4 linked regions of the Saccharomyces cerevisiae S288C genome follow. The gene in region 2 interacts genetically with the main gene of each other region. Each region holds a gene or a part of one and is shown on either strand. Other genes may lie near its edges. The genes, in order: CDC19, MPC1, MAE1 and COX23.

Region 1 (4,404 bases), on a different chromosome or scaffold from region 2:
GGCTTGAATCTTCGATTTCCATATCCATAGCAGTGTTATTTCCTTTGCTTTTTGCGTAATTATTGGCACTATGTCACTGATTATATAAGCCACTTCAGTTTTCTTCCCATCTAATTAATTTTTCTTCGAAACACATTCTGTAAATAAGGGATTATGTTATGAAAAGAATACGTACTAGATGGCTAGAAGAATAGGACGGAGTAGCACTTATCGTTTCTGATAAGAGGATCAATCCTTTGAAATCTTGAAACGCGAATAAATTTAGGACACTAATTGAATCTGCCCGCGTCATTTTTTATAAAAAATAGATTAAACCACCAAACGAAGGCCAGAAGCTGAACATAGTTCACTGGCATCTGCATTTATGTACCCATGTATAACCTTCCAAGTTAGTTCTTGGGAAACGAAAATTATATTGAATTTTTTATTGAATTTTTAGCGTATCCTTTCGCCATCCTGATAATCATGATAACCTTGAGGGAAGATTATCTTGCGATGGGAGGGATCAAATTTAGCAAATTTTGACTCTATGTCAATCTCGTTTCCAAAAATGCAACACCTCATCGTTATGACGACAATTGGAGACAAAAAGGTTAACAATAACATAATACTCTTTTTATAGAATACCTTATAAAATGTATGTTATTTAAGTAACTTATAAATCTTTATTTGAGTTGAAAAGAAAAACCATGTCTTTATATAAAATTTAAAAAATATAATTCAAAAAAATAATATCTTCATTCAATCATGATTCTTTTTTTAAACGGTAGAGACTTGCAAAGTGTTGGAGTGACCAGCACCGGCCTTGAAACCTTGGATGGAAACGTAAGTGTCACCCTTCTTCAAGATACCGAATTCCTTAGCCTTTTCAATACCGAAGTTGATACGGGCTTCAACATCATCAGTCCAGTCAGAGACAGGTTCCTTTTCGAAAACGAATGGGAAGACACCTCTGTACAAGTGAGAGAATCTAGCAGCTCTTGGGCATCTGGTAACCAAGATGATTGGACAGTTTGGTCTGTACTTGGAAACCAATCTTGGGGTGGTACCGGAAGTGGACAAGACAATGATAGCCTTGGCCTTTTGTTCGAAAACAGCAGCGACAGCGGAGGCAGCGACGGTTTCGGTGGTGGAGGTTGGCTTTGGAGTACAGTTTCTCATGTCATCGTAGTTTGGCAAGTAAGCGATAGCTTGTTCAGCAATGACAGCGGTTTCAGCCATAGTGGTAACGGCGTTGATTGGGTAGTTACCCTTGGCGGTTTCACCAGACAACATAACACAGTCAGCACCATCCAAGATAGCGTTACCGACATCGGAAACTTCAGCTCTGGTTGGTCTTGGGTTGTAAGTCATGGATTCCAACATTTGGGTAGCACAGATAACTGGCTTACCAGCCAAGTTAGACTTAGCAATCAATTTCTTTTGGACAGCCAAGACTTCTGGGGCTGGGATTTCAATACCCAAGTCACCTCTGGCAACCATAACACCGTCAGTGACCTTCAAGATTTCGTCGAAGTTGTTAACACCTTGTTGGTTTTCAATCTTGACAATGATCTTGACGTCCTTACCTTGTTCACCCAAGACTTCTCTGATGGTCAAAACATCGTTGGCGGTTCTGATGAAAGAAGCGAAGACCATGTGGACACCGTTCTTGACACCGAATCTCAAATCTTCCTTGTCCTTTTCAGACAAAGCTGGCAAATCGACATCGGTACCTGGTAAGTTGACACCCTTGTGGGAACAGATCTTACCGGCGTTCAAAGCCTTGACCTTCAAAGTCTTGTCGTCAACGACTTCCAAAACTTGGAAAGACAAAACACCATCATCAACGTAGATGATTCTACCAGCGGAGATGACCTTGGTGATGTTCTTGTAGTCAACGTACATGATCTTGTCGTCACAAGCCTTAGCGTACTTGTCATCGGTGGTGAAGATCATTTCGTGGTTTGGTGGGATTGGGTAGTCAACATCGTTGGTGGTGGTACCAGTTCTGATTTCTGGACCCTTGGTGTCCAAAGCAATGGCCAATGGTCTACCTGGGTACAATTCTTCGGACTTTCTGGCGTTGTCAATGACAGACTTGTGGTATTCGTAAGAACCGTGAGAGAAGTTCATACGGACAATGTTCAAACCAGCCTTTCTCAAAGCAACCAAGGTTTCTGGGTTGTTGGTCTTTGGACCGATGGTACCAATGATGGAGGTTCTTCTCAAGTCAGAACCAGCAACAACGTTTAATGAGGTCAATCTTTCTAATCTAGACATTGTGATGATGTTTTATTTGTTTTGATTGGTGTCTTGTAAATAGAAACAAGAGAGAATAATAAACAAGTTAAGAATAAAAAACCAAAGGATGAAAAAGAATGAATATGAAAAAGAGTAGAGAATAACTTTGAAAGGGGACCATGATATAACTGGAAAAAAGAGGTTCTTGGAAATGAAAAGTTACCAAAGAGTATTTATAATTCAGAAAAAAAAGCCAACGAATATCGTTTTGATGGCGAGCCTTTTTTTTTTTTTAGGAAGACACTAAAGGTACCTAGCATCATATGGGAAGGAAAGGAAATCACTTGGAAGACATCACAAGCATTCATTTACCAAGAGAAAAAATATGCATTTTAGCTAAGATCCATTGAACAAAGCACTCACTCAACTCAACTGAATGAACGAAAGAAGAAAGAACAGTAGAAAACACTTTGTGACGGTGCGGAACACATTTACGTAGCTATCATGCTGAATTCTACTATGAAAATCTCCCAATCTGTCGATGGCAAAACGACCCACGTGGCAGAGTTGGGTCAAGTGCCAGTTTCTGGATTAAGTAACAGATACAGACATCACACGCCATAGAGGAATCCCGCCGTTGCGAGAGATGGAAAACAATAGAGCCGAAATTGTGGAAGCCCGATGTCTGGGTGTACATTTTTTTTTTTTCTTTCTTTCTCTTTCAATAATCTTTCCTTTTTCCATTTAGCTTGCCGGAAAAACTTTCGGGTAGCGAAAATCTTTCTGCCGGAAAAATTAGCTATTTTTTTCTTCCTTATTATTTTTTTAGTTCTGAAGTTTGACCAGGGCGCTACCCTGACCGTATCACAACCGACGATCCGGGGTCATGGCGGCTATTTTTTTTTTTTTTTTTTTTTTCCTTGTGATTGTTTATTTACATTTGGATCAATTCTAACAAAAAAAAAATAAGGGGGGAAAAATAATTCACCTCTTTTTAATATTGTTTTGTACTGAGATTAATCTCCAAAATACTAGCATTGACACACATCTCAAGTCATCTCAAATAAAGTCGGAAAACCCCCCCTTTCCAAATAATTGAGGTGACGTTGCCATGAACAGGGAAGCAGAATTTGATTCGAAGACTAAGACCAAGCATACCCATTCTCATTTGGTCCTTTCTTTATTTTTACTTCAACTCCCTTAACGTTCGGAGAAAAACTCTGGTTATTCTTCATGCGATATAATTGGCGAAAAAAATCTTGTCTCATACGTAAAAAGTATTAAAAAAATTGCCCATTTTGTGCCCGCAGACAACTGCAACCTATCTTCAAAAGCCGAAAAGGAGGTTTTCTTCTTATTCGCTGGACAGACCCTCTTTTTTGCTGTTGCTTTATTTTTTATGTTTAGAAACAAAATTTCCCCGAGAGAAAGGGAAAATATGTGGAAAAAGAAAAAGCACTTCCTTACCAAACGTCATTCCATCCATGAAATACTTGGCCGATTGAACTTTTCATTTGGTCCAAATATGGAAGTGATAAACGATCTTACTCCAACGTAGATAAAACATTGATAGTAGCCCTAACTGATATTATGGCAAGTCGGCCACACCGCTCATTAGGACAATTCCTTTTTTTCCTTTTTTTTTCTTCTCACTTTTCGGCTATCGGAGCCTTTGATTTAATCGCCGGTGCCTACGTCTTTGGTGTGTATCATATCGGTCTTGAGTCCCATACTACATGCTCTGCTAATAATAGTCATGCAAGTAATAAAGGTAATTTATGGTGAGGGAGGCTTAGGAATATCTAATACTAAGTGCCTAAAACATCAGCAGCAATACAACAATACAACAATGCAACAGGTTCAAAGGAAATAATCAGCAACGCTTTCAAGGGAGCAAGTTGTGGTTTACAACACCTACAATTCTTTCAAGACGTTTGCAACACTGCGACAAAAGTGTGACCGAATTACAAATTTAGAAGGCAAAAAAAAAAAAAAAGAAAAAAAAGTTGTACGTATGGTAGCGCCGCATATACTATGTAGTAGTAATATTGAAATATCTCTTGCGCGGCGTGGGATCTTCCGCCCCCCCCACCCAAATTTTCTATTTTTTCTTTTTCTTTTCGCTTACCTCTTTTTATCGACTTTTTCCCTTTTTTCTTTTCATCGGGAAATGATTATCAA
Region 2 (3,513 bases):
CTCTTCATTTCATCAATATATTGTTTAAGCTCTAGGCTTTTCGAATTTATAACAGCGGAGGTTTTGGTCTGTAGAGAAAGTGCCTCTGAGAAATCAGCAGAATCAATAGATTGTTTTAGAGAATCAAAAATATATCTAGAAACGTCAAATATTGGACCAGGATCCTGGGCATCCGTGGGTAGCAAATTGCTTGACTGAGGGATATCGTTATCTAGGAACAAATCTTCGTCAACGTTAGATTCATTGTCCATTTCATTTTGCTCCACAACATCTGAAACGTTACTTCCATCACTATCGAAGCTACCACTTGAGTTGCTAGTGGTGCTGATCGAATCATGGAAAGAGCTGGACATTTCCTCTGTTATAGGAATCGCGTAGGATTGAGAATTAATACTGGGTGTTGAAGAATGAACAGCCGAAAAAGTCTCTTCATCATCATTTTCCTCCGATATTCCGGTCACCATTGTTCTTCACTAAGTGTTGGTAACCATTATTTTGCCTCTCTTATTATTTTACTATAATATAGCTGCGACTTTTCAGTGAAAAACGTTCTTTTTTAACTTTTTGAATGGCTGAATATAATCAGTAATACAAAGGAGATGAGAGGGAAATTGTCTTGGATATAAAAGAAATATTTGAATAAAGACATAATAATTATTTAGGTTATTTAGAATATGTCATCTTATGTAGTTTGGTTCAATACTAACTACTAAATAAAATGAAACTCATAGAGATAATGGTTCTATAGCATGCATATATGAAAAGGAGAAGAGGTAAAAATGAGAGAATATGCATGAACATATCCATCCTCTTAATCCTTGCTTGTTCTTTTTTATGTTTCCATCTAGTCACCTACTTCAGGTTCTTAGACTGCTCGTTTTACTGTTTACCAGTTTTTTCTTTCTCTTTCCATTCCTTATCTAGAGCTTTCTTCTCCTCATCTGTTGTGAAATACGTGTATTTGAGAAACCTATAGCCTTGAGCTAATTGCGCAGTTTCATTAATAAGGTGGCATCCAAACAGTAAGTAGTTTTTGGGTGATACTGAAAGAGCATACTTCATGAAAACACCTGAATAGGTAACTAAAGCAAAAGTCATTGGGCCAGAGATTAGTGTAGGGTCTTTTTTCAGATCATATATAGCAGCAATTGGGATACCGAAATTTGATACGGGACCCCAGAAGTGTGTTGTGAAAATATATTTCAAAGTTTCTTTATTGATGTATTTTTGAAGGAATGAGCGTGCTGCAGCGCGTTGAACCGGTTGAGACATTCTTTTTGATCACAGTGCAATAAAATCTATACGTATATATGTAGATGTATTGACGTTTGCTGATTGGCAAGTGAGTGTTTAAATAGATTATCGGTGGAGAAAGGTGGAGACCGCAGGTTGTAGTGGCTATTCCTTCTTTGCCAGAAAGCACTTGTCATTTCGCCTCGGTTAAAGCGGGGGGCCGTCGCAAAAGAGAACTTTACAGGCCACGTCCAGAGCAAAAAACTCCACTTATTTGACTAGCCATGAAGCTATAATACCACCCAGCAATATAGAACTGGGTTATAAAATTATATTTAATTCGATAGTAGGCGGTCAAAAATCAAGATTACTATTAGTAGTAACCACATACTATTGGAGTGCTGAGGGGTAATAATTTTCTTGTTTTTCGAGAAGCAAGTAAGCGTCTTCTTTATCTTCGTCCTGCCCTTTATTCTTTTTACTCTAATAATTTCAAGTTCTATTTCTCCTTCCTCATCATCCCCTTCTTCTTTTTCTTCTTCTTCTTCTTTTTCTTCTGTGGTGTCTGTGTCAGTGCAAACTTCGATTTCTTCTTCGAAAGAACTCGTTTCATGTATTTTTCTATCAAAGTTACTGCAGATCTTCTGGTCTTGCTTGCTGCCTCTTTTTCTCAACGAAAGGATAGAAAACCTACCACCTCGAGTCAATATGGTGTTCGTTTCATGACACTCATCTGCAACTTCCGTTTGCGTACTCGCTTCCGACAATCCGTACCAACTTGAATCGCTATCTTCTGTGGATGTTGCAGAATGAATAGGGAAAGATGACACTGTATTATTCTTTCCAAATGTTACATTTGTAATAGTGCACTTTACGATTTCCCTTGCTTCATCGAAATACTCAAGTTCAATTCGGAAAATTAACTTGGCGGCTAAATGATGGTTGTCGCGAAAAGGATGATTATCAATTGCAATCAAACCAAAAGCATCACCATTTTTCAAATCAATTTCATCATTTGGCCCATCAGACACTAAGTTTACTGTACCAGTCTTGTTATTCAAATCCCGAATGCAGATGCGGAGTTGTTCTATAGAGGGAACTCCTTCAATTTTGGGTATTGGTGTCTTTATACATAGGACAGCATGCTGTCTGCTTAGTTCTGGCTCATCAAAATATAGATTGTACGGCTTACATAGACTATTTTGATCAAATGAACTCGAACGGCCAATGGTTTTACACAAACCTTGTGTTGTTTCCGTATCTTCTATAGCGAAAACAAAAGTTCTTATATCACCCATGATTTCCCCAGTTCCTTCCCTCAGTTTCAACTTTATGCAACTGCCTAGTGATTATTTTTTTTTCAAGTAATTTGTAAAACTCAATACTATGAGCCACTTTGATTGCTTTAGTATTCTGTGAAGATATCCCAAAAATGTTAATTTCCGCTGTAGTGCATTATTCGGGGCTTCTTGAGCCGTTTTGTTTGGACAAATTTAGGAGAAGGAATCTGTAAAAAAAAATAAATCATTGGTATTATCAGGTTATATATCACAAATAGGCCAGTTGAACGCCATGAAGGAGTAAAATATACATTTACAAAATTAAAAAGTGGTAGAGTTAAAAATAAGCGCTAGCGTGGTGACACCCACAAAAAAAATAATTCTATAAGAAAGATACAAAAGACGAAAAAGAAATCATGGTTTCACATAATTACACAGTTTTTTTTCAACTTGTCTCTTTTCTTTTCTTTATTACTCCCATTAAAGGGAAGGAACTTGTTTTTCTTTGAATTTTTTTCAGGTCTTTCAAACCTTTCCCTTTGATGATTTCTACCGTTATTAGCATAACCATTTTGCATGTTATTTGCCGCACGCATATCTTCTTGTTCCTGTAACCTCCTAGCTAGTTCCTCATCATCTTCGATTTGTTGAACACCGCTTGCTCCACTATTAACTTGGTTGCTAGTTACATGCCCTGTATTCTGGTCACTGAATGGGTTAGAAATGTAGGACTCATTTTGCCCGGTAGCAGTAGTTTCTGTTCTTTCCAGACTTGTGGGAATGAAGTTGCCCGTGTAGTAAGAATCCTGCGATCCATTCACGGATTTAAGCGACTGCCAGTTTATGTCCTTGCGATTTCTGTAAGTAGGATCCGTGACCAAAGTAAACAATTCGCCATTGTTTTTATATAATGTGCAAAAGTGATCATTTCTAAAAAGCACGGCATACGATCTTTCTACTAAAATTTCTCTGAGATGAGTTAGACCATATTCAGTCAATT
Region 3 (4,931 bases), on a different chromosome or scaffold from region 2:
TGTTTTCTTTTCTCTTCAGCCTGTCTCTCTTGCAATTCCCTTTGAGCCACTTCATCACTTGCCGTGGTAATGTTGATGTGTAATGTGGCTTGAGAGTTAGCACCGGCACGTCTACTACTGTCGTTACCAAGAGCAGTACCCATAAGATTTGGCAATGGAGCAGAATCTCCCGGTCTGAACATGGTGCTGCCTTTCTTTGGATTGTACGTGTATGCTGCATGTGATTGATTTTGAGGTGGTATCAAGCGAGCCAATGCAATTTCGAAAGTATTCTCCTCAATTCTTGAATCATCAATCTTTTTCAAAGAATCAATGATTGGCTGAATTTGGTCCATTAACCTATTTAATTTATCTTGCTTCTCTTTGTTTTTTTTACCAGAATCATCTTCCACCAACGGTTCATCACATAGGGAACATAAAAATTCTGTCCTATCAAAATTCAATAATTGTACAGCTTCCAATTGTGTGTACTTGGTCAAACAAATCGGACACATGTAACCATTAGGTTCTGAATTTTTGTCCAAGTCATCCTTCAATCTTTGTACGACTTGATGGACCTTCCATTTGATTGCGTCAATAGCATGAGGATATTTTACATAGTAGTAAACTCTTTCCACACTTTTTGAGTTTGGAGGGTATTCTCTTTGTTTGTGTATGGATATTAACCTGTCTGATCTTAGTCTAGCAATTAGCGGCCCCAGTTCCGTCTTATTTATGCTCAACAATTGTTTCAAGTCATCTTCAGCTAGGACCGAGTGAAATAGTATAGCATCGAGTACCAGTACAAAGGAGCCACCATAAAACCCCCTAACGACGAACTTTAAAAGATTTTTCACAATATCATCTATAGGTCTATCCATACTCTACTCACTGCAGCAGCTGCTTCCAGTAGTTTTCTATCTTTGGCTCGATTAGGACGAGCAATCATGCTGCCAAGTTTACACTTAATTAGCTTTTTTCCTAATCTTGCAAGAACCGCTTAGATAATCACTACACACGGTAACGCTTAGTAAAAAACCAAAAAAAAAAACCAAGTATTATTACGTATTAACTCACCAGACTACAATAGTAACCTGAAATTCGCCCATGGTACAATTTACACTTCCAAATTTTTTTGTTTTTTTATCATTTGGACATCCTTTGCCCTTCACCCAGTGTCAATCATTACAACAATTATAGCGATTCATCACAGTGCAAGGATCACTCTTAACGAAGGAAGAAAAGTTAGAAAAATTTCTCATATGTTTCGCGTTTATTTTCGATACCAATTCGTTTCGATGTGTGCAAATTGAATATTGCATCGTGCATTGCAAGGTTTTTCAAATTCTTGCGTCTTGTCAACCGTTCAAGGCGATTGAAAGATATTCACTGCATATCTTCTTATACGAAAAGCATCGAAGAAAAAACACCCATACAACCAAGTATAGACGGAACAATTCGGGTTTTTACTCTTCCCTAGGCGGTTTAAATCGGATATATGAAAAGAAATCAAAAAAAAAAAAAAAAAAAAAAAAGAATTGGCGCATTTGAAGTTTTATTATCGTACGCGTTATTGTTTGCGCTAACATCGCATCGCATCAGCTGACTGAGTGACTGAGTCCCCTTGGCTTCGACTCATCATCGCCTTTCTATGGTGAAAAATTTTCGCAATTTCCTATTACTGTACCGCGTATGCTCCATTTGACTTCCTTTGGTCTACAGCTTTAGCGCTATAGAGTTTCGAAGTCGTACCCGTTACCGGCATGATTGACATATTATATATATATATATATGCGTATCTTTATACTTACTCGTATATTGTGTCCAGCTTCGGATATTTGTGCTTTTGAAACCTACAACTTTTAACGAGTTTAGTGCACATAAATACCAAGACAAAAGGTAGAAATACGGTTATGCTTAGAACCAGACTATCCGTTTCCGTTGCTGCTAGATCGCAACTAACCAGATCCTTGACAGCATCAAGGACAGCACCATTAAGAAGATGGCCTATTCAGCAATCGCGTTTATATTCTTCTAACACTAGATCGCATAAAGCTACCACAACAAGAGAAAATACTTTCCAAAAGCCATACAGCGACGAGGAGGTCACTAAAACACCCGTCGGTTCTCGCGCCAGAAAGATCTTCGAAGCTCCTCACCCACATGCCACTCGTTTGACTGTAGAAGGTGCCATAGAATGTCCCTTGGAGAGCTTTCAACTTTTAAACTCTCCTTTATTTAACAAGGGTTCTGCATTTACACAAGAAGAAAGGGAAGCGTTTAATTTAGAAGCATTGCTACCACCACAAGTGAACACTTTGGACGAACAACTGGAAAGAAGCTACAAGCAGTTATGCTATTTGAAGACGCCCTTGGCCAAAAACGACTTCATGACGTCTTTGAGAGTACAGAACAAAGTCCTATATTTTGCATTAATAAGGAGACATATCAAGGAATTAGTTCCTATCATTTACACCCCAACCGAAGGTGATGCTATTGCTGCCTATTCCCACAGGTTCAGAAAGCCAGAAGGTGTGTTTTTAGACATTACCGAACCTGATTCCATCGAATGTAGATTGGCTACATACGGTGGAGACAAAGATGTAGACTACATCGTTGTGTCGGATTCGGAAGGTATTCTGGGAATTGGTGACCAAGGTATCGGTGGTGTACGTATTGCTATCTCCAAATTGGCATTGATGACGCTGTGCGGTGGTATTCATCCCGGCCGTGTGCTACCTGTGTGTTTGGACGTCGGTACTAACAACAAGAAACTAGCCCGTGACGAATTGTACATGGGTAACAAGTTCTCCAGAATCAGGGGTAAGCAATATGACGACTTCTTGGAAAAATTCATCAAGGCCGTTAAGAAAGTGTATCCAAGCGCCGTTCTGCATTTCGAAGATTTCGGTGTTAAGAACGCTAGAAGATTACTAGAAAAGTACAGGTACGAATTGCCATCATTCAACGATGACATTCAGGGCACCGGTGCCGTCGTGATGGCCTCGTTGATTGCTGCTTTGAAACATACCAACAGAGACTTGAAAGACACCAGAGTGCTTATTTACGGTGCCGGGTCTGCGGGCCTCGGTATCGCAGATCAAATTGTGAATCATATGGTCACGCACGGCGTTGACAAGGAAGAAGCGCGCAAGAAAATCTTCTTGATGGACAGACGTGGGTTAATTCTACAATCTTACGAGGCTAACTCCACTCCCGCCCAACACGTATACGCTAAGAGTGATGCGGAATGGGCTGGTATCAACACCCGCTCTTTACATGATGTGGTGGAGAACGTCAAACCAACGTGTTTGGTTGGCTGCTCCACACAAGCAGGCGCATTCACTCAAGATGTCGTAGAAGAAATGCACAAGCACAATCCTAGACCGATCATTTTCCCATTATCCAACCCTACTAGACTACACGAAGCCGTTCCTGCCGATTTAATGAAGTGGACCAACAACAACGCTCTTGTAGCTACCGGATCTCCTTTCCCACCTGTTGATGGTTACCGTATCTCGGAGAACAACAATTGTTACTCTTTCCCAGGTATCGGTTTAGGTGCCGTACTATCGCGTGCCACCACCATCACAGACAAGATGATCTCCGCTGCAGTGGACCAACTAGCCGAATTGTCGCCACTAAGAGAGGGCGACTCGAGACCTGGGTTGCTACCCGGCCTGGACACCATCACCAACACTTCTGCGCGTCTAGCTACCGCTGTGATCTTGCAAGCACTCGAGGAGGGAACCGCCCGTATCGAGCAAGAACAAGTACCGGGAGGAGCTCCCGGCGAAACTGTCAAGGTTCCTCGTGACTTTGACGAATGTTTACAGTGGGTCAAAGCCCAAATGTGGGAGCCTGTGTACAGACCTATGATCAAGGTCCAACATGACCCATCGGTGCACACCAACCAATTGTAGACGAAGCATAACCAACGCCTGCACTTAAAAAAAAAAAACCATATAGAGTAATATATAAATATATATATTTGTACAATTTTTTTCTTTATTTTTAAAAAAAAAATAATACTTGACATACCGTAATAATAATAATAATAATAATAATAATAATAATATAATAATAATACAATAATACAATAATAAAAACAATAACAACAGCAACAATAGCACAAGAACATTAACCCAAGCAACTAGCAATAACAAGAACGGTAATTATCAAAACAAAATATGATACCAAATGCGGAAAAAATCGGCACATATCCATAAAACATACACATCGTGCTTAGCGATCTACATACCGTGGAGGAATGGGTGGAACGGTTACTGACGACGGCCGCGCGGGGTTTTGTGTTGGGTGTGATGTCCGGATGCAACAGCAGCAAAGGAGAGGCGCAGCGGACCTTCCTTACTTTCTTTTTCTTCTTTTCTTTTCCACCTCCCCTTGGTGAGAGAACGAATGGGAACAAAAAAAAAATGCACACATCAGCTGGTGGAGCCAAGTATAGACACGGCCCGGCGCATTCGTTCTCTCTCTCCTTCTGTCTCTCGTTCTCGCTGTAAATGTGGTTTACTTCGTTATCCTCTGTACCGTAATCGTACTGCATTGTATTCTGTTTCCTCTACTGCTAGGTCACTGCCTAACAGCTACTGCTACCGAGACTGTGACGCTGAAGTTTATTCGCTCTGATATCCCACAAAGAACTCTATTACACACAGACAAGGCAAGGCAACGCAAGTCAAGGCAAGACCACAACTATATCCCCTTCTTCTATCCATTCTGTGATATACGTACGACGCTAACAGTACCCACAACTGCAATGAACACCGGTATCTCGCCCAAACAGGACGACGCCTCTAACTCCAACTTACTCAACATAGGCCAAGACCATTCGCTGCAGTATCAGGGTCTCGAACACAACGACTCCCAGTACAGAGATGCTTCTCACCAGACACCTCACCAATACTTGAACCAGTTTCAAGCCCAGCCTC
Region 4 (3,455 bases), on a different chromosome or scaffold from region 2:
ATAGAGCGTATGCAGTATCGTAGTTTGAACTGGTGTTCACACTAGAAACTTCTAAGTGAGAGTCAAAAATCCCAAAAAATGACGCCAGAGATGTGTTAGACGGCAAAACCTGCGAGCCTCTGCCTTCATCCTTCGATAGGTTTTCATTTAGTACTTTCATTGCTTGCTTATTTAAATTTCTTTCCAGCATAGGTTCAATGGAGGCTCCATCAAAGTCACCATTCAATGACAAAACAGATAGATCAAACATAGCATCAGTGAAGTTGCCCAGTGACTCGTTGGCAGATGCACGTCTCAGCAAGGCTTTAGAATGGTCAGGTTTTATCTCAAGTGCCTTTGTAGTGAACTCTATAACCTTCTCTAAGTCGCCCGTAGAAATGTAACAAGCAGATATGTTGGAATAGAACACTGGTTCATTCGGGTCCAGCTCAATGGCATACTGGTAGTATTTGATGGCCTCATTAAAATTCTTAGCAGTGAAGAAGTGGTTACCTCTGTTCTTCAGTTGCACGGCATACGCTTGTCTCTGGGAGGGTGATAGGCCTTTCAATTGGGCAATATCAGGCTCGCCATTGGGCAAGGAGGGATAGTCAAACCCTTCTCCCGATTTTGCCTTATTGTTCCTCTTGCGTTTATTCTTCTTCTTCTTCCTCTTATTACTTCCACTTACGACGCTGCCGTCGTCCTTTAAGTCCGCCTCGTCTTCATTTTGACCAGCAAAGGCCTCACTTTGACGTCGGTTGTCTTTTGTACCCTTCAATTGCTGCTGTTGCTGCTGCTTAATTTGCTGGTAGTAAACATAAGCACCCACAGCAGCAGTCCCCGCAGAGACCGTTGCTAGGATGGCCACTTTGTTCTTGGTGATAAACCTCAGGAGGGAGTTTTCGGCCATAAGAGCTTCTTATGTTCGGTATATACAAGTATGTAGAGATATATACAAAAAATTCTTTATTCGCACTTTGAAAATCCAATTTAGCTTGCTTATTTACATACCATTGCGAATTAGTTTTTCACATTGCACTAGAGTGTGCTGTGGCTGCCTGTCGGAACACTACGTCGCGTAGTGGCGATCTATATAGAAAACAGATCACAGCTGAACAAACAAGAAGAAAAGGCTGCCTCATTCCCACTGCTGTCTGTTTTTCCTCCTGGCTGTCAGCCATTGTTTCTTGCATTCGCGGTATGCGTCAAAATATTCTTGGCACTTGGATCGGTCGTAATCGTTGCGCTCGAGGCACTGAAAACTGAGCTTGGAGGACTCCTCACAAGGATCATAGTACTGACTGTCAGCCTTTAACGCGAATTTATACTTATTGACCGGGTTCTCCGGGTCGTCTGGGTAGTATTGAAATGACGACGGATCGTCGCTCTTTGGTACATAGTTGACTTTGGTTCTGTCCGTTACGGGTCCACTGGCCGCTGGTGGCGTGGAAGACGAAGATGGTTGTGAATTGTTGCTGCTTGTAGAGCCACTGTTGGTATTTGTGGTATCCCTATTATCGTTGGTCATGGTCATACCGTTGGAGATAGTGGAGAGACTACTAGTTTGCCGCCTGGTGGGGCTGGGCTTCTCCATTCTCTTTAAGCGCTCTCGTGAGAGAATATCACTGTTTACGGCCCACAAAGAGAATGAGAAAATTGATAAACCTTAGCATTGGGATCAGCAGGAGCCTTAGAATTCTGGGTGTGAACAGAAACACATTAGTGCATTAGTGTATAGGTTCGATATTATTCAAAGAGGAACTCGGTGTACGGCTCAACTGTAAACCGTACTTCTCGTTCTTTGTTCACTGCCCTGTTTCTGACTCTTGTGCCGTGAGCTTTTCTTCTTACAGTGTCGATTTCCTGTGCACATACGTTCTGTATAGTGGTTATTCCTGGATGTCTACTAATACTGTTCCCTCATCTCCCCCAAACCAGACGCCACCTGCTGCTTCTGGCATCGCTACCTCTCACGATCACACCAAGTTCAACAATCCCATCAGACTACCGATATCCATCTCTCTCACCATTAACGATACGCCTAACAATAACAGCAATAATAATAGCGTTAGCAATGGTTTAGGTATTTTGCCCTCGCGTACGGCTACTTCTTTAGTCGTTGCAAATAACGGTAGCGCAAACGGCAATGTTGGTGCTACTGCTGCTGCTGCTGCCACTGTGGAGACGAATACAGCCCCCGCGGTGAACACTACAAAGAGTATCCGCCATTTCATATATCCTCCAAACCAAGTCAATCAGACGGAGTTTTCACTTGATATACATCTCCCACCAAATACCTCGCTACCGGAACGGATAGACCAATCTACTTTGAAACGCAGAATGGACAAGCACGGGCTTTTCAGCATTAGGCTAACCCCGTTTATAGATACTTCATCCACGTCTGTGGCTAACCAGGGTCTTTTCTTTGACCCCATTATCAGGACTGCGGGCGCAGGCTCGCAAATTATCATCGGAAGATACACCGAAAGAGTAAGAGAGGCAATTTCCAAAATTCCAGATCAGTATCATCCCGTAGTGTTCAAATCAAAAGTGATATCCAGGACCCATGGGTGTTTCAAAGTTGATGACCAAGGAAACTGGTTTTTGAAAGATGTCAAGTCTTCCAGTGGGACCTTTTTGAACCACCAGCGTCTATCTTCTGCGTCTACCACTTCTAAGGACTACCTTTTACATGACGGAGATATCATACAGCTGGGTATGGACTTTCGCGGCGGGACGGAAGAGATATATCGTTGTGTTAAGATGAAAATAGAATTGAACAAGTCTTGGAAATTAAAGGCCAATGCATTTAATAAAGAAGCCTTGAGCCGAATAAAAAATCTACAGAAACTAACTACTGGTTTAGAACAAGAAGACTGTTCCATTTGTCTAAACAAAATAAAACCTTGCCAAGCCATTTTTATATCACCATGTGCCCATAGTTGGCATTTTCATTGTGTAAGAAGATTGGTTATTATGAATTATCCTCAATTCATGTGTCCGAACTGTAGGACAAACTGTGATTTGGAGACTACCTTGGAATCCGAATCTGAATCCGAATTCGAAAACGAGGACGAAGATGAGCCAGACATTGAAATGGATATAGACATGGAAATAAATAACAATTTAGGTGTTCGCCTAGTAGATTGATCACATGAAATTTTGTGCTATATATATATATATATATATATATATATATAACATAGAGTCGTCATACCTCTCAAAAAAGTGGCGGCCAGGGAAAATATTTAATAGTTTCAGTTCATTCCTTCGTTCATTTACAGTAACTTGTAGGAAATAGACCTTTCAATCCGTCACATTCACCATATGTCCACCCGCTACCGTCATCGCCTCTGATAACAGTAATTATGTCCCCCGGATCAATTGAAATCTCATCATCTCCCTGTGCTTCGTAGGCATATATGGCCTCCATCGTCCTAACAGGTAGTGTACTCCTTCTTGGTGGTGGTACT

What was found.
Region 1: mutations in MPC1 (region 2) and CDC19 together harm fitness more than expected from each alone (negative genetic interaction), as found in Saccharomyces cerevisiae (2 studies listed by BioGRID).
Region 3: mutations in MPC1 (region 2) and MAE1 together harm fitness more than expected from each alone (negative genetic interaction), as found in Saccharomyces cerevisiae (4 studies listed by BioGRID, with this or other methods).
Region 4: mutations in MPC1 (region 2) and COX23 together harm fitness more than expected from each alone (negative genetic interaction), as found in Saccharomyces cerevisiae (2 studies listed by BioGRID).

Annotation. Positions count from the first base shown.
Region 1 is NC_001133.9:69,644-74,047, reverse strand, and holds CDC19 (pyruvate kinase CDC19), read right to left. Parts: upstream 2,263-4,404; coding exon 760-2,262; downstream 1-759. Other genes in the region: YAL037W (uncharacterized protein), read right to left, coding at 1-28; YAL037C-A (uncharacterized protein), read left to right, coding at 530-622.
Region 2 is NC_001139.9:356,395-359,907, reverse strand, and holds MPC1 (pyruvate transporter MPC1), read right to left. Parts: upstream 1,273-3,513; coding exon 880-1,272; downstream 1-879. Other genes in the region: KXD1 (Kxd1p), read right to left, coding at 1-464; YGL081W (uncharacterized protein), read right to left, coding at 1,569-2,531; MIY3 (Miy3p), read right to left, coding at 2,936-3,513. UniProt on the Saccharomyces cerevisiae protein: Mediates the uptake of pyruvate into mitochondria.
Region 3 is NC_001143.9:381,687-386,617, reverse strand, and holds MAE1 (malate dehydrogenase (oxaloacetate-decarboxylating)), read left to right. Parts: upstream 1-1,892; coding exon 1,893-3,902; downstream 3,903-4,931. Other genes in the region: transcription factor TFIIE subunit TFA1, read right to left, coding at 1-860; DNA-binding transcription repressor IXR1, read left to right, coding at 4,760-4,931. UniProt on the Saccharomyces cerevisiae protein: NAD-dependent mitochondrial malic enzyme that catalyzes the oxidative decarboxylation of malate to pyruvate.
Region 4 is NC_001140.6:339,786-343,240, reverse strand, and holds COX23 (Cox23p), read right to left. Parts: upstream 1,577-3,455; coding exon 1,121-1,576; downstream 1-1,120. Other genes in the region: protein channel TOM71, read right to left, coding at 1-892; ubiquitin-conjugating protein DMA1, read left to right, coding at 1,882-3,132; BZZ1 (Bzz1p), read right to left, coding at 3,257-3,455. UniProt on the Saccharomyces cerevisiae protein: Required for the assembly of cytochrome c oxidase.